Linked DNA regions of Xenopus tropicalis. The protein of the gene in region 2 interacts with the protein of the main gene of each other region in a pairwise test. Links are inferred from orthologs where the notes say so. Each region holds a gene or a part of one and is shown on either strand. Other genes may lie near its edges.

Region 1 (6,306 bases), on a different chromosome or scaffold from region 2:
AGTAGCCATTATTTATTGAGAAAAAGTTTACCCTTTTTGGTGCAAAAAACACCGGGACACTCAGATTGGTCAAAGTGGGAAAAAAGGCTCTGATTGTGGTAGGTAGGCAGCCCAGAGGTATCAACCCTGGCCAGGGGTCTGAAAAATGTTGTCATGGCAGAGGCTGCTGTCGGAAGAAGAAGGGTTTCCACCTTTTGAGTTGTAAAATACCAGGCGTGTAGTAATGTGTGAGTCAGAGAAAGCCCGCCCCCGACCCTAATCCACTAAACCTAACCGCCACTGACCGTAACCTGCAAAACGTTGCCATTGAAGGACCAGCACCCAACCCAAAACCCACATCTTCCCACTATGTAAAATACTTCTGTGCCCATCTTATGTTCCGAGAGAGAAAAGCATCACCTTCGTGAGCAGAGGAAGAACGTACTTCCCCAATCTGACCCACATCCAACCCAAACCCCCAATGGTTGCCCAAATTTCAACCATAACCCACCTGACCTAAGGGTAAAGCTGTGACTTTATGGCTGATGATGTCAGGGGGCGAATTGATAACATTTTTGGGTGGAGTAGCGGGCAGTCTGCAGTATGGCTGGGCGAAATACCGTTTAATATGGAATACCGGTGTTTTTTTTTAAACTATATTCATTTTTCAGATACCGCAATACCGGGGGTGTCAGGGTACTCACCCGTGCAGGCCGGTCTCGCGCGCCTCCTTGCGTGCGTGCGTCCCGTTGTCCGCGGGACATTGCGCACACGCGTGCGTCAAAGCGCACGTACATGTCAAAGCGTGCATGTCCGTGACGCGCTGACGGCGCTGGTTCTGCGCATGCGTGGGGGGTATTTAAAGCTATCAAACGCCTCCTCCTGTGCTATGTTGTCTGCGGCCTTGCCTGGGAAACTAAGCCTGCCTGATTTACCTTACGACTTTCTGTTGCCGATCCTTCGCTTGCCTGACTCTGATTTTCAATACTGCAGTAATTATTCCCTAATTTATTAGGAAATGGGGTTAACACCTACTCATGCATGGAAAAAAATACCGTCAAATACCGTGACACCGATATAATTTTGAAAAATACCGTGGTATAAATTTTTGGTCATACCGCCCAGCTCTAGTCTGCAGGAGAGATTTGTAAAAATTAGGACAGGAAAGGTAAGGCTGATGCCACACGCGGTGTAGGGCTGATTTTTTCGGCAAGCGGAAAAACGCTTGCCAAAAAATCAGCCCTACGCCTGCTACTTGTGCCTGCACCCGAATGAATGGGATACGCTCGGGTGCAGGCACATGTAGCCGATATACGCATGAAAACATGAGAGAATGCAAAGTCTCTTTTTTTTATGCGTATATCGGCTACATGTGCCTGCACCCGAGCATATCCCATTCATTCGGGTGCAGGCACAAGTAGCAGGCGTAGGGCTGAATTTTCAGCAAGCGTTTATCCGCTTGCCGAAAATTTCAGCCCTACGCCTCGTGTGGCATCAGCCTAAGATTTTAGCAGGCATTGGGGTCAATTAGTTGAGAAACAAGCGGACAAGACAAAGTTGCCAGCAAGACTAGGCCACTAAAATACTAGAAACCCTAGCTGGAAGTGACATCACCCATTGCTTTTGCAGCATGTATATTGAATTCAGTAGAGAAATTTGAAAACCCCAGGGAATTAGTGACAAGAGAGTGGAAGTCAACGTGTCAGGAAACCAGAAAAAAACTACAATATTTTCACTTTAGGAGCACAAACTCAGCAGCTGTTGGCGGCGCCCATCAGAAAAGAGGTGTTTTTATTTTTGCTCCCTGGCACAAGTATGACGTCGCATAAGCAAAGAAAATATTTATTAAGTTTTAATCAATGAGCAGGGAAAAACAAATCTTTTTCCCCATTATTTCTTGTTCTCTGACGAAAGCAGAAGCCATGAGGTGAAAGAAAAATGTGGAATCCGCACTGCACAAACACCGCGTGTTACTAGAAACTTAGACTTGAGTGACACAGACGCGCCCGTCACTGGCCGTCACTCCCCTAAGGCGGCTACGTGCCGCGTCACCGCGCTTATAGACTTCTGCCCGTGACGTCACAGTCTCGCGAGATGAGACTTGTGAGTCTGGATGTGCAGGTCGGCAGGAGCCGAGGAGCTGGACATTTAAATGGCGTTGCGGGACGTTTAAACAGCGATCCGGGACTGCGGGCTGTGTTGAGAAATTCGGGACTGTCCGGCAAACAGCGGGACTGCTGGGCGGTATGTGAGCCATTGTCAGTTCCTGCTCTGTATGCACTTCATTTAGCAGCAGCCGGATCTCCAGAGAGAGAGAGAGAGAGAGAGAGAGAGAGAAAAAAAAAAGGGGGGGGGGGGTGAGAAAAGAAGACGCTGGTCTCTTGTAATGTTTCAGATCTGCCCATTCCAACACTTGCAACATCCAGTTGTGTAGAGAGGTTGAAGTCCATTCTCCCCGAAGCTGCTGTTTCGTCTGTAGGAATGGTGGTGTGCCTTTCCACATCCTGCTATTCAGTTTGACAGCCAGACCCTGCTTTGGAGACCTTTGTCCTCCTATATGTCATTGATGTTCCCTGTCTAGCTCTCCTCTCACGCAACGGGTTAACTTTTTAGTTTACGTGGAATGTAAACCTCCCAAATACATTTTTTCCAAAGGGAAAAAAAAACTGCAGTTCTGAACAAGTTAGCAACATACATTCATGTCAAAATTTCAGTAACTTTCAAGCTTTGTAATTGGAATTAAAAACAGTATTTGCTTTGCACTTCTTTGCTTCTGACTCTTGATATAATGTAGCAGAATACAGATATGCCCCATGTCAAGCTTGGATTTGGGTGCTGGTATTTTAGGACCCCCCCCCCCCCCATACAATATCACTAAGTTTTTTTCCTGGGCTGTTGTTCCTTTTAGAAAAGGTTGCACCCCTTTTTAGTTTGACTTTTCTAATCAGCTATCTTTTGCTACATTGTTTCTGGAGTCAGAAAGTGCAGGCAATATAAACAGCCACTGCTTTCAGTTGCAACTTCATTACATAGAACTTTAAAACTACTGAGCTAAAGTTGTCTGGTATAACCCTTTCTTTCATTGTGCACCCCCTGTTGTTGTTACATCACTTATAACCAGTGCAGCCATGGTTGCAGCCATTTGCTCTAGCCTAAATGCCATCAGTCATATTCCATGATAAACATTGGGTAGGAACTGCTTGCTGTCACTCCCATCTAAAAACTTGAGCAAACTATGCAGTGCTGCACACTGGGATTACACACACAGTGACATGTGATATTCACAATGTTCATGTTGTTGCTGGGCTGCCAGTGGAATCCATGCTGGCATACCCTGCTGCTGTCTTCTGGAAGTTCTGTGTGTAAAGGAATGTTGACTTTCTATTTCTTGGGATGTTCTTTTTGGCATGTAAGCCAGTTCATCAGCACAAGTGTAGTTCTTAGATGGATCCCAGTGGCCTTTGAATCATATAAACTGATTTAAAGGGCAAGTTTTCATGGAGGTTTTCTAAAAATTCTAAGCCGGTTATCATTATTGGCTATTACCTGCCTGTGGCTGTTTTGCTAAATATTAGTGGTAATGCATGCATTGAATAACTTTAATATTTAGTTACATGTCTGGTGACTTTCCAGGAGCAGAGAGAGAAGTAGGCATGGTGCCCTGTGGCACATTGGAGTTGTTTGGCATAGACAATTGCTTTTTAATCACCCCTGCAGAATCTGCCCTCCTGTATGCAATCACGCGCACAGCTGCATCTTGCTGATCCTGCGCTGTAACTTTCAGCAGTCTTTTACTGTAGGGAGGTGCAGTTTAACATCTGTAGGAGAGCCACACTTTGAAGTTCTCTAGCAAGTTCTGAGAATCAATATGGCTCCTGTACGGATTATGTTTGTACTTGGCTAGTTCACATGGGGGTGCGACAAGGAAATAAGTGTCTTCTGTCTAAGTATTCTGCACATTGGTACAATAGTAATGGTGTATGCTACAACCTGAGTGGCTTGGTTTGTCAAACTGTGTAGAAAATATCTCCGCATACATGCTTAAGTGACAGTACAGGTAAGGAATCCCTTATCTGTAAACCTGTTATCCAGAAAGCTCCGATTTACAGGAAGACCGTTTCTCATAAACTTAATTTTAAGCAAATAATTCAGACTTTTATACACTTTTCTTTTTCGCTGTAATAATAAAACAGCGCCTTGAACTTAATGTTAGCTAAGCTGCATGAATCCTTACTGGTGCCAACATAGTCCTATTGGGCTTATTTCATGTTTAAATGATTTTTAGCAGACTTAAGGTATGGTGCTCCAAATTCTGGAAAGAACCCTTTTCTGTAAAACCCCGTGCCAGAGCATTTTGGATAACCGGTACCATACCTGTACAATGAAGTCTTTATTTTAAGCAAATAAATGCAATTTTTGGCACACAGTTTTGTTACAGTAGTTATTAAGTATATTGTTTATTCACTATAAGGAACCAGCCTATGGGGCTTTATTAAAATTCAAGATGGTGGTTTTTTTTCCCTGCAATACAAGTTTTCCACAGTGAAAAATTGGTAAATATTATTATTAAATTTGAGTTTTCTGATCTGAACGATTCAAGATCTATAAATTAGAAAATTTTCACATTTGGCACCTAAAACCTAGCAAGCTTCTTTAATGGGAAGGGTAGATCAGAACCCCACGTTTACGTACCCGGAATTTGCCATGTTTTGACACCGTCCCCTGGGAAACATAAAATCAGGGTTCTACTGTATTTTCAAAATTCAAGCTATTTTCAGATTTTAAAAAAGAGATTTGCAGACTTGGTTAAAAAGGAATAGTAGAGTGTGGTAGGTTTTTCTGCAATTAAACTTTTTTTTTATATCACATTTTTTTGTAAATATACTCATAATTAAGAAAAAAACTTTTGTATTAAAAAAAAAAAAATTAGTTGAACAAACATTTGAATTTTAGTAAATCTTACTTTGTTACTCAAGGTGATGACATATAGTAGCTAATAAATACAGCTATGGGACCTGTTATCTAGAATGCTTGGGAACTGGGATCTTTCCGTAATTTGGATCGCCATACCTTAAGTCTGCTAAAAATCATTTAAATATTGAATAAACCCAATAGGATTGTTTTCCATCCAATAAGGATTATTTATATCTTAGTTGAAATCAAGTACAAGGTACTGTTTTATTATTACAGAGAAAAAGGAAATCATTTTTAAAAATTAGAATTATTTGCTTATAATGGAGTCTATGGAAGATGGAGATGGCCTTTCTGTAATTCGGAACTTTCTGTATAAGGGGTTTCCAGATAAGGGATCCCCCATGCCTGTAGTAATTTCCGAAGGGCTGTTTAGTCCCAAGAAGTGTAAATATAAATCTGCTGTATGCACTTGGCCAGTGAAATGAAAGTTGGACTACAGTAGAACGCCTATTTTAAGTTTTTCAAGGAACTAGGAAAAAATGGCGTTAAATCCGTAAAAAATTAGACATCAGGGAAATTCTCTATGCATTATATCTTGGTGGGACCACAAATAAATTGTAGATGACAGAAAAACAAATTAGGGTCTGTAAAACTAATGTTTCACTGTATCAGGGGGGTGCTGGCAAATCTTTAAATGAAAAAAAGTAGGAAATGCTTAGCAACAGGTTTTATAAGAATAGTTATGGAGCGCAAAAGTCATTTGTTAATGCGCATTGGCTATTGCATGAGGAATTGGCAGGTCATGAAATTCCTTCCTGCTTTTCTGATCATCATTTATGCTGCCTACCCAAAGGAAGGAACAAGGGAATGTTGCTATGAATCTGTATAGCCTCTCATTGGGCATCAGGGCTCGAGGGCCTATAAGTTACTATAGAGTACTGGCCAAAGTATATTCACCTTTAGTTTGTAGAAGAGTATAGGGATGTTAGCAGCTGTGTGGCACTGCCATTTTTCAAAGTTGGTTTTTATTTGCGTTTGAATTGTGCCTAATTAATTTTATATAGACTTTTTTTGTGTTTAAATGGCTACTTTAGCTGAGATTTCTGTTCAGTGTATTTATAAACTACCCTTATGGCAGCATTTTTTATGACCCAGCTCGCTTTCTCTGCCTCTCTCCTTAAGACCACTGCTATTGTTCCATGGTATCAAAATAACTGACAGATGTATAAAATTATATTCTATCAGATCCTGTTCTCTTGCTGTGCTGATTAAGACACTGATCTTGGGATCAAGGCCACAATGGTATATTTGCTGCCTTTTACAACATTTTTTGGGGACACTGAAAAGCTGCACAGTGTAGCCCCAAGCAAATGATCTGGTCTGGATTTACTAATGATAAGTAGATATTTTTCT
Region 2 (5,520 bases):
CTTCAAATAGGATGTGTACCTGGCATCGTATCATAACATGTGTCACCTTGGACTTTCCATCATTGCTTTCTGCTTTGTCATCACCTGTCCGTACCGAAAGGACAAAATCTCCAGGGTGGCTTTGGCTTTCCCGCACCAGAAAGCTTCCATGTTTACCTTTCTCTGTCAACAGCTTCTCTGCTTCTTTCCCTGAAAGATGCCCATGGAACCACCTGCAGCCATATAATGTAAATTAACATAACAACAAAGACTTCCAAAAAGTAAATCATCTTTATCAATAAAGGCTTTTAACAGGCTAGGCTATTATGCTCTACAAGTGGATCAATAGATTTATCAATATTACCGTTTCAGGAGATCCACTTCTCAAGTGCATATTCTTAAACTGGAGACTAATTCATAAGGTAATACAAAGAATTTGAGAAGGACTTTGAAGGTTAATACATGAAAGAAAAGTCAAAACATGTGTCAAGGTGAAAAACAGAGCTCTCTCACCTCTCAGATGTTGGGTCTGCACAGTTTAGTGGATATTTCAGTTCAATAACATCACCATTCTTTTCTTTCAGTTGCCCATGGTGTTCCATATAATACTGAACAAGTTCAGCCAATGTTGCAAACTTTTCCCCTCCATACAAGTCATAATAATCCCCAGTATTCTGTATTTTTATGTGTGTCACAGCTCCGTTCCGCCTAAAATGCAAAATGCAGTTAATTTAAGTAGAGACAGACAGAAGAGACATGAAGAGTGGCCTTTAAATTTACTTTTAGTATGATATAGAGCAGTTCTCCAACCAGTGTCTTGTGAGCAACAGGTTGCTCACCACCCCCTTTGATGTTGCTCCCAGTGGCCTCAAAGTAGGTGCCAGTTTTTTAATTTCTGGCTTGGAGGCGTGTTGTGGAAGCACAGAAACACAATTTTAAACCAAGGAGACCTACTGCTCCTCATTTGGTATCCCCAAAGTGTTGGCTCACCAACACTTTTTACACCTGAGTGTAGCTCACAAGTAAAAAAAAGCTTGTGGATCCCTAATGTAGAGAGTGTTTTTCTGAGACAATTTGCAATTGGTCTTAATTTTTTATTTGCAGTTTTTAAATTTAGTTTTTTGTTCAGAAACAAAAAAATATTTTCCCTTTTATATTATAAACAGAGTGAGAGACTAGCATGGTTTTTCTTTCAATCTGTGTAATCCAGTATGTATGTGTAAGGTCAGATACTAATCATGCAGCTTTTCTACTGTCCTCTGATATTTTGCAACAGACAATGGGTGAAATAACAGCGAAGTATTATGTAAAACATGCATTGTAATTTATTGTATAGTAAAATTAGTTAGACTGCATATTTACGTGAAATAATGGCTCTTCCCTTTTCACTTTACACAGAGTAAAATATCAACTCTACATGCAAAAACGATGATGTGCAACTAGTATGATGTTACATATACCAATTACATGGAGAAAAACTAAACAGCAATTACAGCTTTCTTAACTGCTTTTTAAAAAATCCAGTGGATTAAGCGGTTTTACAGTGCTGCAATATATGTTTGGAAATATATCTACTAGTGTGTAATGTGCATTAAATTTGAGGACTACTTAAACAAATTTGGTCCAGCCGTCAGAGCGAGAGAACATAATTAATAACAATTTATACCTAATATTGTGAGTTATAAGATCACATATAGTAAAGTTGCCAGATGGGAAAACTTCCAGAAAATCCAGATAGAAAGGCTGCATTAGTTCCAAATTAAATATAATCAGTGCAGCTCAGAAATATACACTTATTAGAAGTGATCTTGTAACCATAACATTTAGATCTAATGCACATTGGTGTATTATAGAAGAAGATGGATTCAATTAACTGCATACGCACCTCACAGACAATGTGAAATCTCCTGGATTACTCTTACTGGGGCGAGCTAAGAAACTTCCATCCACTCCTCGGGTAAGTAGCAAATTTTCTGCTTCAACACCAGTGATATTAGGGTGAAACCACCTAGACCACAAAGATATGCAAGAGGAAAATCAGCTTCTAAGAAATAATTAGCATCTTTCCTTCACTTTTTAGGGTAATTTGTGCTTGACCTGCATTAAAAAAATGACAACATTACAGCCTCTCTTCCTTATATGCAAGGACCATGCCTGGCCATTAAATCACCTTTAATCATACTTGTAGGGAAGACTATAAACTGCTACTTGGCAAATATGGCCAGCAACCAGAAAGTAAGTTGGCAGTGAAGCTAGATTAACTATAATAACTACTTATACTATGTGGCCTAATGTACTGGCAAATATTGTATGGCTGAAAGTATCCATCCAACCCTCTTAAAGGAAACAGTTCAGTGTAAAAGTTAAACTAGGTGAATAGATAGGCTGTGCTATATAACTTAGTATATTGAAAACATTTTTTATTTTGCACAGCCTATCTATTTACCCAGTTCTATTTTACACTGAACTGTTATTTTAAAGGAACAGTAACACCAAACAATGAAAGTGTAAAAAAGTAATTACAATATAATATACTGTTGCCCTGCATTGCTACAACTGGTGTGTTTGCCTCAGAAAGACTACTATAGTTTATATAAGTTAGCTGCTGTGTAGCCATGGGGGCAGCCATTCAATGGAGAAAAGGCACAGGTTACTTAACAGATAACAGATAAACCCCCATTATATGGGGCTTATCTACTAGTTATCTGCTATGTAATCTGTGCCTTTTCTCCTTTTTTCCAGCTTGAATGGCTGCCCCCATGGCTTCACAGCAGCTTATTTATATTGTAGCTTTTCTGTAGCAAAAACACCAGTTTTTTTTTTTGCAGAGCAACAGCACATTATATTTTAATTACTTTAAAACACTTTAATTTTTTGATGTTACTGTTCCTTTAAAATGCACATCTCAGGGTTAACATTGACAGCTAAGTTCCAGACTGTCTCTGGAAGTAATGTTAGGACAAAAATATTCATTGAGTTTTTCTGTGAACGGCCATACACAAGCCTAACATTACTATGTGCAATGCCATAAGCTTACAGAAGTAGTGTAAAGATGTATCTCAGTGGAAATTAAAGTCTACAGAACTAATATATTGCTGTAAATTGATGTTTGCTCATAAATGGCTTACATTCACAAGGCATTCGATACAAGCTACAGCTCTGTAGTATTTTCATATTTTAAATAATACAGTCAAACAGTTTCTACGCTGCTGCATTTTGCACAGCGTTGCAGTCCCCTCCAATTCTAATGTACTTCTATGGCTGCATTCCCTGGATTTTGTCCCATTTCCCTTAAAACATCAGCATTGTCATTTTTCCACACCAATTCTTCAGTCAAACCTCAATTTTATATCCCCTCCATTCTATGTTTTTTTTTTATTTTGCATTTAGTATAACAATGTACAAAGGTGTACCTTTTGGGGTTTCCCATGGTGCAGGGTTGGTATGAAATATAATTCAGGCACATATATAAAAACAATTAAAAATAAAGAAAGAGGGGGGGAAGGGAGTAAAGAGGGAGGGGTGAGAGAGGAAAGAAAAGTAGGAATGGAACATGGGTATAACTTGGGGATAAAATCTTGTGGATAGTTCTTTTATCAGTCATCATTTTTGCAGGCCTAAGGTTCGGGTTACTATTAGAGGTAGAAGATTTTGAGGAGGGTATTCTTGGGGGCTGTTGTGGTTAGCCCTATAGGTTTATTGGAATATTCCGGTAAGTCATCCAGGGAGCCCAAATTTTATTGTGGGTTTTTTGCTATCCTGTTGAAATGCTTGCAAGACTTTCCATAATTAACAGATTGTCCAGTCTGGAGTTTATATCCAATGTTGATTTCCAGGCTTTGGCTATTGTTTGTTTTGCTGCAGAGAAAAAATATGGGTAGTTAGTTTCCTCAGGTATTTATTGCCACCAGAAATGTTTTTGTTCAACAGAGCTTCTGCTGGGTTCTTCCGTAGTGATAGGCCTGTGACAGCCGTAATTAAAGTGTACATTCTTATCCAATAGCGGACTGCGACTGGGCAATCCCACCAAGTATGTATAAAGGTGCCTTGTTGGTTGCATGCTCGGAAGCATAATGGTGATGCGGATGGGTACCAATTAGATATTCTGGTAGGTACCAGATACCATTGATGTAGGATCTTTTGAGAAGTCTCTTGTATCAGTACATTTATGGAGCATGTTACCGAGTCTTTAAAGATGTCCAGCCAGGTGGCTTCATCAAAGCAAAAATTTAACCATTCTATGGTTCCATTCTATATGTAACCATTCATTATAAGCTAGAGAGGGATTTGCAGGCATTTTCAGGATTTATTGCAAATAAATCTTTAGTTTCTCCAAGTCTTTACTTTTTTTTTTTTCTTCACTGCAAAACTTAAACGTTAAGTGACTCCTCACAACCCCAGTCACTTCTTATTCTGCATTTATGACATCACAAAAAGTCACATACGCAATGTCTAAAAGGGCAGTATACCCCCATTTTCAACATTAGTTCAGAGAATAAGGCTTGTGCTGAACAAAGTTTTTACTTATTGATCTCAGTATTTCACGGAGAAGCCCTCTGAAAAAAAAACCCTACCTTTGCCTAACTGCAGCCTAATAGGCTGTGAGATAAGGAGCAGCTGACTATACAAAGGGCTTCTCAGTGGATTGCTGATTTATTTTGATTGTGCCACCAGGAAGCTGAATGTGACTTGTAATTTCATATGTTTCCCTGTTCAAAGCAAGAAATAACAAAAAACATACATATGTATTCATTAAAATAGGCAAAATTATATTTAACATAAGATTAAAAAAAATGTCTACAGTTCTACACAAAATGATACACACATACACCCACCTAAAACCCACACACATATCAGGAACTAAACAGCTGTACAGCATGCCAGACTCTTTCTTAACCATGCCCTGTAAAGGAAGGCATAGTGTTCACACTTCCACTGTTACAGCATATGCAGCATTATTACAGCACAGCTGTACTTTTAGCAAAGCTTCCCACTGCAAATAAAATGCTAATATCAGCTAATCCTATGATGCTAATATCAAGTGATCCCTGTACTAAACGCAAAATGATTATATCAGAAATGTAACAAAACATAAAGTAAGTTATATATTTTAACTACAATAAGTATTCTGTGTGCAAATACATAATTTTGGACTTATTCTGGCCCATCCACTTCTTAAAGGAACAGTAACACCAAAAAATTAAAGTGTTTTAAAGTAATTAAAATATAATGTACAGTTGCCCTGCACTGGTAAAACTGGTAAGTTTGCAACAGAAACGCTACTATAGTTTATATAAATGAGCTGCTATGTCAACACGGGGGCAGCCATTGAAGCTGGGAAAAAGGAGAAAAGGCACAGGCACATATCAGATAACATAAGCTTTGTAGAATATAATGGGGTTTTATCTGTTATCTGCTAAGTAACCTGTGCCTTTTCTCCTGTAAATGGCTGCCCCCATGGCTACACAGAAGCTTTATTATATAAACTATAGTAGTCTTTCTAAGGAAAACACACCAGTTGTACCAGTACAGGGCAGCATT
Region 3 (6,276 bases), on a different chromosome or scaffold from region 2:
CCATTACTCACAGGGCTTTATTATTTAATATAATATATATATAATGATAGCCCCTACACCTGCAGGGTCAGTTTCCCTTTAAAGAAGAACTAAGGGAAGCGGAACAGAGGAGACGGTATCCTTGGGTGCCCTATTGCCCAAGGGTGAGGCGATTACAAGCAGGCTACAAAACGCTATATGTGGCATTGTCTTATGATTCTCTAGTAAAGATTAGTTGCCCTTTAACGACTATATCTCTAGGAGCTATAGTAGTAGCCCAATAAGCTACAAGTAGGAGCTACTGATCTGTAGTACTAGGCTAGTCAGTGGCGTAACTACCATACAGGAGACCCTATAACTGGGGGGGGGGGGGGGGGGGCAAGTTCTTATCCCAGCTGCCAAGCACACATCCATCTGGGGGCTCGTTATTAGGCCACTGAGGCTAGTAGCCATCTACTAGGGGAAGCTACTAACCTCTAGTAGCCTTGTCAGCTAGGAGGTGCTAGTAATCTCTGTGTAGTAGTCTAGTCAACTACATGTAGTAACTACTATTCTGTGCAATATAGTTGTAGTCTATTCAGCTGCAGCTACAAATAACGGTGATAAAAGTGATTAAATTACATAGTAAAAGGGCAACTAAGCCTGCACCTTGACACTATAGCACCCATGCACCCTAACCCTGCTGCACCAGTAGTAATCTGGATTCCAGAGCCTGTAAAGAGCCAATAAAGAATTTTAACTGTTTCATTGCTATATATTTAATGTGCAATTGGCCCTAGGCAGTTTGGGTCAGATGGTACCAGCAAATAAAGGGTCTTTTCCCAGGTGGAGTGCTCTGTACTTGTTCCAACCTGACCAACTACAGCAGTCACAGTCACCTTTGTGTTTCCTATAGTTGGTACATTAAGGGTTAATGTATGGACTAACTCATATTAAATGTAGTTATAGCTTATAACTGTGTGTGTGTGTGTGTGTGTGTGTGTGTGTGTGTGTATATATATATATATATATATATATATATATATATATATATATATATATATATATATATATATATAGTATAGTATATAGGATTCTCGGCAATTTAGCTGGTAGGATATCCCTAACTTTAATAAACTCCAGATTGTGACAATATTCCCTAAGGGCAGGGAATGGGCGACAGTGCAGATTTAAACACTAAATCACAGAGAACCTCTCCTAGACCTAAAAGGGGTTAAAATGTATTTCCCCTGAGGCCCATATGTTCCACACATGCCCCAGTGACACTCATGGCTGTCAGTCCTGCTAGCTGCATTATTTATGGGGGGGGGCTATTGCTGACCTACAATTCCCAGCATCCCCTGCAGGTCACTATTTAACTCAGATTCAGTTCATAGAAGCACCTCGTACTTTCTCCCCGCATACTGCCAAGCGTGGCCCCCAACCAATTAGGGCCATAATAGCTGCATTTGTTACTAGCCCCCCCAGAAATCATGTGTGTTGGGTTGGGGGGGGGGGTTGGATAAAGCCCCGCCCCTATGCAGAGAACAATATACGGTATATAAGAACACTGCGAGTATACGGACAGGTGCTGCCCCCCCTTTGCCCCGCACCCGGGAACCTCCTCTGTGACGTCACCAGCCCAAACACCTGCCGCAATGTAACAAGCGGCGAAACGCAAACCCCGCAGCGTTCTGCTCCGCTTAGTGTTACACCTGCTGCTGTGTCATCAGAGGCAAACTTCTAACCGCCCCCGGCACTCAATGGGTTAATGGTTAATTAGGCTCCTCCCACTCCGCCTTTGTTTACAGTTTGAGTTCCGCGCACCTGTGACAGGTGCACACTCCCCCCCCTCACCCGATAAACATACACAGTGGGTTCCGACTACCCAGCACCAAACATACACAGTGGGTTCCGACTATCCAACACCAAACATACACAGTGGGTTCCGACTATCCAGCACCAAACATACACACAGTGGGTTCCGACTATCCAACACCAAACATACACAGTGGGTTCCGACTATCCAGCACCAAACATACACAGTGGGTTCCGACTATCCAACACCAAACATACACAGTGGGTTCCGACTATCCAACACAAAACACATACACAGTGGGTTCTCACTACCCAGCAGCAAACACAGTGCCCCACAGCAGCTTCTCTGCCCAACTGCCCCATGTGAGTGCCCAATAGCAGCTTCTCTGTCCAACTGCCCCATGTAAGTGCCCCACAGCAGCTTCCCTGCCCAGCTGCCCCATGTAATTGCCCCACAGCAGCTTCCCTGCCCAGCTGCCCCATGTAATTGCCCCACAGCAGCTTCCCTGCCCAGCTGCCCCATGTAATTGCCCCACAGCAGCTTCCCTGCCCAGCTGCCCCATGTAATTGCCCCACAGCAGCTTCCCTGCCCAGCTGCCCCATGTAATTGCCCCATAGCAGCTTCCCTGCCCAACTGCCCCATGTAATTGCCCCACAGCAGCTTCCCTGCCCAGTTGCCCCACAGCAGCTTCCCTGCCCAGTTGCCCCATACAAGTGCCCCATAGCAGCTTCCCTGCCCAGTTGCCCCATGTAATTGCCCCACAGCAGCTTCCCTGCCCAGTTGCCCCATGTAATTGCCCCACAGCAGCTTCCCTGCCCAGCTGCCCCATGTAATTGCCCCACAGCAGCTTCCCTGCCCAGTTGCCCCACAGCAGCTTCCCTGCCCAGTTGCCCCATACAAGTGCCCCATAGCAGCTTCCCTGCCCAGTTGCCCCATGTAATTGCCCCACAGCAGCTTCCCTGCCCAGTTGCCCCATGTAATTGCCCCACAGCAGCTTCCCTGCCCAGCTGCCCCATGTAATTGCCCCACAGCAGCTTCCCTGCCCAGCTGCCCCATGTAATTGCCCCATAGCAGCTTCCCTGCCCAACTGCCCCATGTAATTGCCCCACAGCAGCTTCCCTGCCCAGTTGCCCCACAGCAGCTTCCCTGCCCAGTTGCCCCATACAAGTGCCCCATAGCAGCTTCCCTGCCCAGTTGCCCCATGTAATTGCCCCACAGCAGCTTCCCTGCCCAGTTGCCCCATGTAATTGCCCCACAGCAGCTTCCCTGCCCAGCTGCCCCATGTAATTGCCCCACAGCAGCTTCCCTGCCCAGCTGCCCCATGTAATTGCCCCACAGCAGCTTCCCTGCCCAGCTGCCCCATGTAATTGCCCCACAGCAGTTTCCCTGCCCAGCTGCCCCATGTAATTGCCCCACAGCAGCTTCCCTGCCCAGCTGCCCCATGTAATTGCCCCACAGCAGCTTCCCTGCCCAGCTGCCCCATGTAATTGCCCCACAGCAGCTTCCCTGCCCAGCTGCCCCATGTAATTGCCCCATAGCCGCTTCCCTGCCCAGTTGCCCCATGTAATTGCCCCACAGCAGCTTCCCTGCCCAGCTGCCCCATGTAATTGCCCCATAGCAGCTTCCCTGCCCAGCTGCCCCATGTAATTGCCCCATAGCCGCTTCCCTGCCCAGTTGCCCCATGTAATTGCCCCATAGCAGCTTCCCTGCCCAGCTGCCCCATGTAATTGCCCCATAGCCGCTTCCCTGCCCAGTTGCCCCATGTAATTGCCCCACTCCTCCCAGCCACATGTACTTACATATCTCCGTAACTTCTTCTCCGGGGGGGATTTTCTGAGCCAGCCGCAATAAACCACTTCTCCGCCGCTCATCCTGGGGGGGTCGGATAACCGGGAGGCGGTTATGGGGTCCGGGCACGACTCCTCCTTGCCCTGTTAGCCCGGCAGCATTGGGAACAGAACCAGCACCGCAAGCCAAGGTGTCTCGGTACCGGGGGTGGGTCACTCACTTTCCATGGGGGGGTCAGACTTTCCCAGCAGTTAGAGCACCATCAGTACCATCAGGGGGGCACTCACAGTACCATGGGTGGGGGGTCTCTCCTGCAGTGTCCCAGAGCCACCCAGGGGGTGAGGGGGGGGGCAGCCAGTACAGTGCCCCCTCTGTACCAGCATACAGTGCCCTCACTGTGCTGAATGATGCGCCTTCATCCCGGGCTGCCCGGTCCCTGCTGTCCCCTCTGTCCCCTCCTGTCTCAGCCACAGCCGCTTTGGGAAGCAGGAAACTGTCTCTCTGTGTGTGTGTATGTCTCCCAGAGCAGTGCAGCCTAGCCACACCCATATTTCTGGAGTGGGCGTGGTCACCAGCTGGGGCTTTTAACCCTTCAGCTGGCAGGGAGTTTGTCAACGCCTTTGGGTGACTCAGGCAATCAAGTGGTTAAACTCACACCCCTGCCTAAAGCCCAATAAAGAAATGGATTTATATACAGCCCAATGCAATGACTGCAATTCAGTTAGCAGGGACGCAAATACCAAGGAAATCTATCCCAGCAAGAGCCCCTGTTATACTGGGGGTGCAAATAGGCCCCATAGAACCGACCTGATCTGATGTGAATGAGCAAACATACACAGTGGGTTCTGACTACCCAGCAGCAAACACATACACAGTGGGTTCTGACTATCCAGCAGCAAACACATACACAGTGGGTTCTGACTACCCAGCAGCAAACACATACACACAGTGGGTTCTGACTATCCAGCAGCAAACACACACACAGTGGGTTCCGACTATCCAGCAGCAAACACATACACACAGTGGGTTCTGACTATCCAGCAGCAAACACATACACAGTGGGTTCCGACTACCCAGCAGCAAACACATACACAGTGGGTTCTGACTATCCAGCAGCAAACACATACACACAGTGGGTTCTGACTATCCAGCAGCAAACACATACACAGGGGGTTCTGACTATCCAGCAGCAAACACATACGCACAGTGGGTTCTGACTATCCAGCAGCAAACACATACACAGTGGGTTCCGACTACCCAGCAGCAAACACATACACAGTGGGTTCTGACTATCCAGCAGCAAACACATACACACAGTGGGTTCTGACTATCCAGCAGCAAACACATACACAGTGGGTTCTGACTATCCAGCAGCAAACACATACACACAGTGGGTTCTGACTATCCAGCAGCAAACACATACACAGTGGGTTCCGACTACCCAGCAGCAAACACATATACAGGGGGTTCTGACTATCCAGCAGCAAACACATACGCACAGTGGGTTCTGACTATCCCGCAGCAAAAACATACACAGTGGGTTCTGACTACCCAGCAGCAAACACATACACAGGGGGTTCTGACTATCCAGCAGCAAACACATACGCACAGTGGGTTCTGACTATCCCGCAGCAAAAACATACACAGTGGGTTCTGACTACCCAGCAGCAAACACATACACACAGTGGGTTCCGACTACCCAGCAGCAAACACATACACACAGTGGGTTCCGACTACCCAGCAGCAAACATACACACAGTGGGTTCCGACTACCCAGCAGCAAAGAATGCCCCATAGCAAATACCAAGGATATCTATCCCAGCAAATAGTGCAAACAAGTGCAAATAAGCCCCATAGAACCGATCTGATGTGAATGAGGATGCAACTCTTGTTCCAACAGATCAGGTTGGATAGGATTAGAGGATTGGATGCAACTTATTGTAACACTCCTATTAGACTGGACTACAATAAATCTGCATTAGAGGGCTATGGGGGACTAACTGGGCATAGTCTCACTAGCCACATCTAAATAACTCAGAATATAGGAAGGCGAATGAGGGCAATATATATATATATATATATATATATATATAAAGGTGATATATAAAGGTGAGCCCTCACCCCTAGCATTTACTTGCTTATAAACACCCCATGCTGCTTAGCCATTCCTATAGATACACCCTGCATGGCTGCATAGAAATCAGTGCAGCCTGCACTTCCAGATTAGGAAGACAGCAATTTTGAGTGGATTTTTCATAACTGTGTCCAGTGCAGCAGGAAAACCCACATATTTACAGAATTCTGTAGGTCTCACTCAAAGCTTCTGTGTGCTGCCCTCAAATGTAAAAACATTGGCCTCATTCGCAATTCATATCCATTAACCTGCGCTTCTGCCCCACGATTTCTCCGCTAGGTTACGAAGTTCAGGTTTTTCAGTGTTTGCGCCATCTAGTGGCCGTGTGTACGAATTACACGCCTGTGTCTATGAAGATTCTCATTCATCCAGGTCATGATATACAGTATCTAGTAGCATTAAGTCTAAAACAACTGTTTTTTTCTTGAAAACGTTTCCCCACTCATCCGAGTGGCTTCTTCAGTTCAAATGACTGGTAGGGAATTCCCCCGGAATACACGCCTATATACTAGTGCTGTGTTTTCAGACCGATCCATGTTTGTTTGTTTTACTTAGGAACAGAGAAAGATCTTGGATT
Region 4 (6,142 bases), on a different chromosome or scaffold from region 2:
CCCTTCCGACTTTGCATGATTTTGGAAGCCTCCCATAGGAATAAATGCCACTCTGCAGCTTCAACCCGGCCCAAGGAAAGTCTCCCATAGGGCTCAATGGCACTCTGCAGCTCCAACCCGGCCCAAGGAAAGTCTCCCATAGGGCTCAATGGCACTCTGCAGCTCCAACCCGGCCCAAGGAAAGTCTCCCATAGGACTCAATGGCACTCTGCAGCTCCAACCCGACCCAAGGAAAGTCTCCCATAGGGCTCAATGGCACTCTGCAGCTCCAACCCGGCCCAAGGAAAGTCTCCCATAGGACTCAATGGCACTCTGCAGCTCCAACCCGACCCAAGGAAAGTCTCCCATAGGGCTCAATGGCACTCTGCAGCTCCAACCTGGCCCAAGGAAAGTCTCCCATAGGGCTCAATGGCACTCTGCAGCTCCAACCCGGCCCAAGGAAAGTCTCCCATAGGGCTCAATGGCACTCTGCAGCTCCAACCCGGCCCAAGGAAAGTCTCCCATAGGGCTCAATGGCACTCTGCAGCTCCAACCTGGCCCAAGGAAAGTCTCCCATAGGGCTCAATGGCACTCTGCAACTCCAACCTGGCCCAAGGAAAGTCTCCCATAGGGCTCAATGGCACTCTGCAGCTCCAACCTGGCCCAAGGAAAGTCTCCCATAGGGCTCAATGGCACTCTGCAGCTCCAACCTGGCCCAAGGAAAGTCTCCCATAGGGCTCAATGGCACTCTGCAGCTCCAACCCGGCCCAAGGAAAGTCTCCCATAGGGCTCAATGGCACTCTGCAGCTCCAACCTGGCCCAAGGAAAGTCTCCCATAGGGCTCAATGGCACTCTGCAGCTCCAACCTGGCCCAAGGAAAGTCTCCCATAGGGCTCAATGGCACTCTGCAGCTCCAACCCGGCCCAAGGAAAGTCTCCCATAGGGCTCAATGGCACTCTGCAGCTCCAACCCGGCCCAAGGAAAGTCTCCCATAGGGCTCAATGGCACTCTGCAGCTCCAACCTGGCCCAAGGAAAGTCACAAAGCTTGAATGAATCCGAAACTTTCGTACTCGGCGCAACAATGCGATTTTTTCGCGACGGCGACGAAAAAGTTGTGAAAAATACATGCAAGATACGAAAAAGTCGCGACGGTGACAGCAAAGTTGCAAAAATACCGATCATTACGAAAAAAACACAGACGCATTTGGAGCGTTCGTGGATTAGTAAATGTGCCCCAAGGTGTGGGAATGGGCACACTGAGGTTATGTTAAACTAAATGAGGGTAAGCTTCTCTAAATAAATGTGTTTTTAGAGATCTTTGGAAGGCAGAGATATTAGGGATATATATATAAAGGTATTGGACCCCTTATCCGGAAACCCGTTATCCAGAAAGCTCCGAATTACGGAATGCCCGTCTCCCATAGACTCCATTTTAATCAAATAATTCAGAATTTTAAAACTGATTTCCTTTTTTTATGTAGAAATAAAACAGTACCTTGTAACTGATCCCAACTACGATATAACGAATCCTTATTGGATGCAAAACAATCCTATTGGGTTTAATTAATGTTTTATTGATTTTTTAGTAGACTTAAGGTATGGAGATCCAAATTATGGAAAGACCCCCTTATCCGGAATACCCTTGGTCCCAAGCATTCTGGATAATGGGTCCTATACCTGTATATATAAGGGATGCACTGAATCCAGGATTCGGTTTGGTATTCAGCCTTTTTCGCCAGGATTTCGGCCCAATCCATGTGCCCGGCTGAACTGAACCCGAATTCTTAAAATGTAACTTTTCCTCACATATAGTTGAAAAATTCTCAGCGTGCACAGTTTGTGGCTCTTGTTGACTATTCCTTAACTATTTCCGGATCCCCAATCTTATGTCATTTGGGGGCCTGGAATGGCATTTGCCACTTTTTCTGAAGAAAAATAAAGAACTTCAAAACCAATCCTGCAGTGGCTCTAGCCCCAGCCATTAGAAAGTTGCAATAAACTCCCTGAAAAATATATAAAAAAATTCAAGCTATTAGTTTCTACAAAAATCTTTTATTGAGTTCCAGCTAGACCGTGTTCATCGGCGTTTAGTGGAGTTTCCGGTTTCCCAAACTCCCTGCTGCTCAGCCAAAGTTGCTGTTTACCTCAGCTGAACAAATAAACATTTTTCTTTACATATTTTTTTTTATTCATATAGAATAAATTCTCAACATTCTGACTAACATGGATACACTCCAGCTTTGCTATTCATTCATATTGTTATGAAATTGCTTATTACTTTTCGTAACCTATGCACTGTCCGTATAGAGCGAGCAGATACACATTGCAGGGCGCATGTCATTTCTCTACCTCGAAAACACTACAACACCCAGCATGCAGTTTGGCTGAGCGGAAGTGGCGTCAGCGGGTGAACTTTGACCTGTGATATCGGATTGCCTGCCGCAGGTAAGAAGCGAACGTTGTGCCTTGCAAACGTAAAGTGCTGGGGAGGGGGGAAGTGCCCCCATACGGCTGTGTTGCTGGGAGGGCTGGGGCGCAGCATTGCCGTATTGGGACTCAATTGGAGTTTTACCCCCCGGGGTTTGGGAATGTGTCACGGGTTCCTGTTAAATCATATTCAAGTATAATGTATATTTTATATTAAGCTGTAAAGGAAAGATCTTTAATAAATTCTACATATTAATAAAAGCAATCAAATAATGTTTCCGCATTTGCTTTGGAATATAATGCATGTAGAGAACATTTGCAACTTTACTGCATTATTTTACCAGCTGTGATCATACACTGGCAGTTTATTATACTCAATGTATGGGCTGTGGGGTTTTCCAGATGAGGCTGCTAAAAACTATTTAAACATTAAATAAACCCAATTGTATTGATTTGCTACAAATATGGAATCATGCAGCGAATGCTCCCCCAGGTACAATGCATTGTTTTTACATTACAGAGAAAAAGGATTTACTTAAAAAAAAAAAAAAACAATTACAGGTATGGGACCCATTATCCAGAATGCTCGGCCACCTGGGTTTTTTCGGATAAGGGATATTTCCGTAATTCGGATCTACTGCCTAAAGTCTTCTAAAAAAAATCATTTAAACATTAAATAAACCCAATAGGGCTGTTCTGCCCCCAATAAGGGGTAATTATTTCTTAGTTGGGATCAAGTACAAGGTACTGTTTTATTATTACAGAGAAAAGGGAATCATTTAACCATTAAATAAACCCAATAGGACTGTTCTACCCCCAATAAGGGGTAATTATATCTTAGTTGGGATCAAGTACAAGGTACTGTTTTATTATTACAGAGAAAAGGGAATCATTTAAACATGAAATAAACCCAATAGGGCTGTTCTGCCCCCAATAAGGGGTAATTATATCTTAGTTGGGATCAAGTACAAGTACTGTTTTATTATTACAGAGAAAAGGGAATCATTTAACCATTAAATAAACCCAATAGGGCTGTTCTGCCCCCAATAAGGGGTAATTATATCTTAGTTAGGATCAAGTACAGATACTGTTTTATTATTACAGAGAAAAGGGAATCATTTAAACATTAAATAAACCCAATAGGGCTGTTCTGCCCCCAATAAGGGGTAATTATATCTTAGTTGGGATCAAGTACTGGTACTGTTTTATAATTACAGAGAAAAGGGAATCATTTAACCATTAAATAAACCCAATAGGACTGTTCTGCCCCAATAAGGGGTAATTATATCTTAGTTGGGATCAAGTACAGGTACTGTTTTATTATTACAGAGAAAAAGGAAATCATTTTTTAAATGTGACTTATTTGAAATGGAGTCTAAGGGAGACGGCCTTTCCGTAATTCAAAACTTTCTGGATAATGGGTTTCCGGATAAGTGGTCCGATACCTGTACAATTATTTGCTTAAAATTGACTCTGTTGGAGATGGGCTTCCCTTAATTTAGAGCTTACAGGATTCCGCATATGGTATCCCATACCTGGATCTTGTAACTGTATTGCATTACAACATAGCCGAAAGGAATTTGTTCTGATGTTACCATACTTTGGATTCTATGGATATTAAGCTAATGTCCAATGTCGCCCCCGATAGATCTCTGCAACCATGAGCAACTAATTGCTCTGAAATGCCTTCCCACTGTCAGCAATAGGAGTCGCTGGTGGAAAAACCTATGTATCGCTTTGACTTTCCAAAGACACTCAAAGTTGCCTGCAGGAGGAAACTTTGTGCGACTTCGGAAAGCTGAAGTGATGCGTAGGCCTTTCTACCAGTGACTCCTATTGTTGCCGGTGAAAAGGCATTTCGGAGTGGTTAGTCGCCTGCGGTAGCAGATATCTGTCTTGTGCGACTAGCTCGCTCCGTGGGACATCAGCCTTAAGCCGGCCATACACACACACACCGATAATTTTGTACAAAACCTAGTTTCGTACGATATTCGGTGCGCGTATAGTGGCTTGACGAGGCGACCGATATCGCAAAAGGCTGTGAATATCGGTTCAGGGCTGAATCGGCAGAAGGAGGTAGAATTTCTATTGTTTCTACCCCCATATCTGACGATTCAGCCCTGAACGTCAGTGGAGGGTGGGAACGATCGAAATTGTGTGTGGCCACTTTTAGAAATGTACAGATTTCAGATGCTACTTTGCTAAAAAAAATATCTAAACTCAGTACCACTGCAACATAAAAAGGAGCTGCTCAGCAGGTATCAATCTCTTATCTGGAAACCCAATATCCAGAAAGCTTCAAATTATGGGAAGGCCACTATACACAGATTCCACAAATTTTAAGCAAATTATTTATTTATTTATTTATTTATTCCTTTTCCTCAGTAACAATGAAACAGTACCTTGTACTTGATCCTCACTAAGTTACATAAATCCATTCTGGTGGCAAAAAATTCTGTTGGGTTTAATGTTTAAATAATTTTTAATTACTGAAAAAACTCTTATCCAGAAAACACCAGGTCGCAGGCATTCAGAATAGTAAGTCTCATATGTGTATTACTGTTCTTTAACCAGAGGCCACTCAGCTGAATAACTTAGTAATTATGCTACATAACCAGAGGCCACTACAGAATAACTAAACTCAGTACTACTGTTCCAGAATCAGAGGAACAGTAGGTAGTAGGTAACTAACACATTAAAGAAAGCCCTGCCCAAAACAGCTTGCAGTCTAAAAACAGGGCTTTTGCTATATTATAAAAGGCCACTCAGAAGAAAAAAAGACGTGGCAAAATAAGAATCTTTATGCGGCACTGCATGCAGGTCACTATGTAGCTCAGTAAATATACTGAGCTACACGAGAATAATAAATGTATATCTTACTGCATAGGTTTGCTATAAATAAGAAAACCAGATGTGTATCAAATGTCACTGTGATTGTAGAAATGAATGGCATATAATTATTATTAGTAGTAACACTCATAAGACAACAGCATATTTTTCAGACTCTTACATAGCAGACAGATAGCATAGTGTGTGATCAGTCAAACTAATGCTGGGCACAGTTCTGTGATATTGTTCGGATATGGGGCATTTAATGGTAAAGTGATGATATTTAATTAAGAATTTGATTTTCATTCAAATTCAACATCAGTAACACTATGGTTTTGTTAAAGACCAACCTCTGCATTATTATTCTATTCATTCACAACTTAGTTTGTTTTTTTTCACATCTATCCCACTAGGTTAAATGGTTCCCGACCCAACCCTAGTGTTCATAAGTTGTTTGAATATTATAAGGAACATAAATTGGAAGTTCCACTGGGGCAGAGGCCGATGTGAATCATACTCTCTGTAAAGCACTGCAATATGTTGGCAATAAAGAAAATAATATGTAAAAGACACTGTTTATGCTCCACTTGTAGCCAGAGAAACCAAAAATATTTATTTTTGTTTTATCAATATGTTTGAAATACATAACTAGATGCCGTTGATTGTCTTTTAAATTGTTAAATATGAAAGTAATTTGTACAGGTACGGGACCGGTTATCCAAATGCTTGGGACCTGGGGTTTTTGCGGATAAGGGATCTGTCCGTAAGTCTGCCATACCTTAAGTCTGCTAAAACACAATTTAAACATTAAATAAACCCAATCAAATTGTTTTTCCACTAATAAGGATTGATTCTATCTTAGTTTGGATCAAGTACAATGTTCTACCTCCTTCTGCCGATTCAGCC

What was found.
Region 1: the proteins of ptpn11 (region 2) and tlk1 interact in binary tests that used the Homo sapiens proteins (3 or more experiments, as listed by UniProt). The link is inferred for Xenopus tropicalis from reciprocal best matches to the Homo sapiens genes PTPN11 and TLK1.
Region 3: the proteins of ptpn11 (region 2) and gab2 interact in binary tests that used the Homo sapiens proteins (3 or more experiments, as listed by UniProt). The link is inferred for Xenopus tropicalis from reciprocal best matches to the Homo sapiens genes PTPN11 and GAB2.
Region 4: the proteins of ptpn11 (region 2) and trim32 interact in binary tests that used the Homo sapiens proteins (3 or more experiments, as listed by UniProt). The link is inferred for Xenopus tropicalis from reciprocal best matches to the Homo sapiens genes PTPN11 and TRIM32.

Annotation. Positions count from the first base shown.
Region 1 is NC_030685.2:67,884,999-67,891,304, forward strand, and holds the start of tlk1 (serine/threonine-protein kinase tousled-like 1), read left to right. Parts: upstream 1-2,059; 5' UTR 2,060-2,223; intron 2,224-6,306. UniProt on the Homo sapiens protein: Rapidly and transiently inhibited by phosphorylation following the generation of DNA double-stranded breaks during S-phase. This is cell cycle checkpoint and ATM-pathway dependent and appears to regulate processes involved in chromatin assembly.
Region 2 is NC_030677.2:163,813,543-163,819,062, reverse strand, and holds part of ptpn11 (tyrosine-protein phosphatase non-receptor type 11), read right to left. Parts: intron 1,988-5,520; coding exon 1,865-1,987; intron 688-1,864; coding exon 493-687; intron 213-492; coding exon 20-212; intron 1-19. UniProt on the Homo sapiens protein: Acts downstream of various receptor and cytoplasmic protein tyrosine kinases to participate in the signal transduction from the cell surface to the nucleus. Positively regulates MAPK signal transduction pathway. Dephosphorylates GAB1, ARHGAP35 and EGFR.
Region 3 is NC_030678.2:169,071,899-169,078,174, forward strand, and holds the start of gab2 (GRB2-associated-binding protein 2), read right to left. Parts: upstream 4,096-6,276; 5' UTR 3,649-4,095; coding exon 3,577-3,648; intron 1-3,576. UniProt on the Homo sapiens protein: Adapter protein which acts downstream of several membrane receptors including cytokine, antigen, hormone, cell matrix and growth factor receptors to regulate multiple signaling pathways.
Region 4 is NC_030684.2:34,069,353-34,075,494, reverse strand, and holds the start of trim32 (E3 ubiquitin-protein ligase TRIM32), read left to right. Parts: upstream 1-2,406; 5' UTR 2,407-2,425; intron 2,426-6,142. UniProt on the Homo sapiens protein: E3 ubiquitin ligase that plays a role in various biological processes including neural stem cell differentiation, innate immunity, inflammatory resonse and autophagy.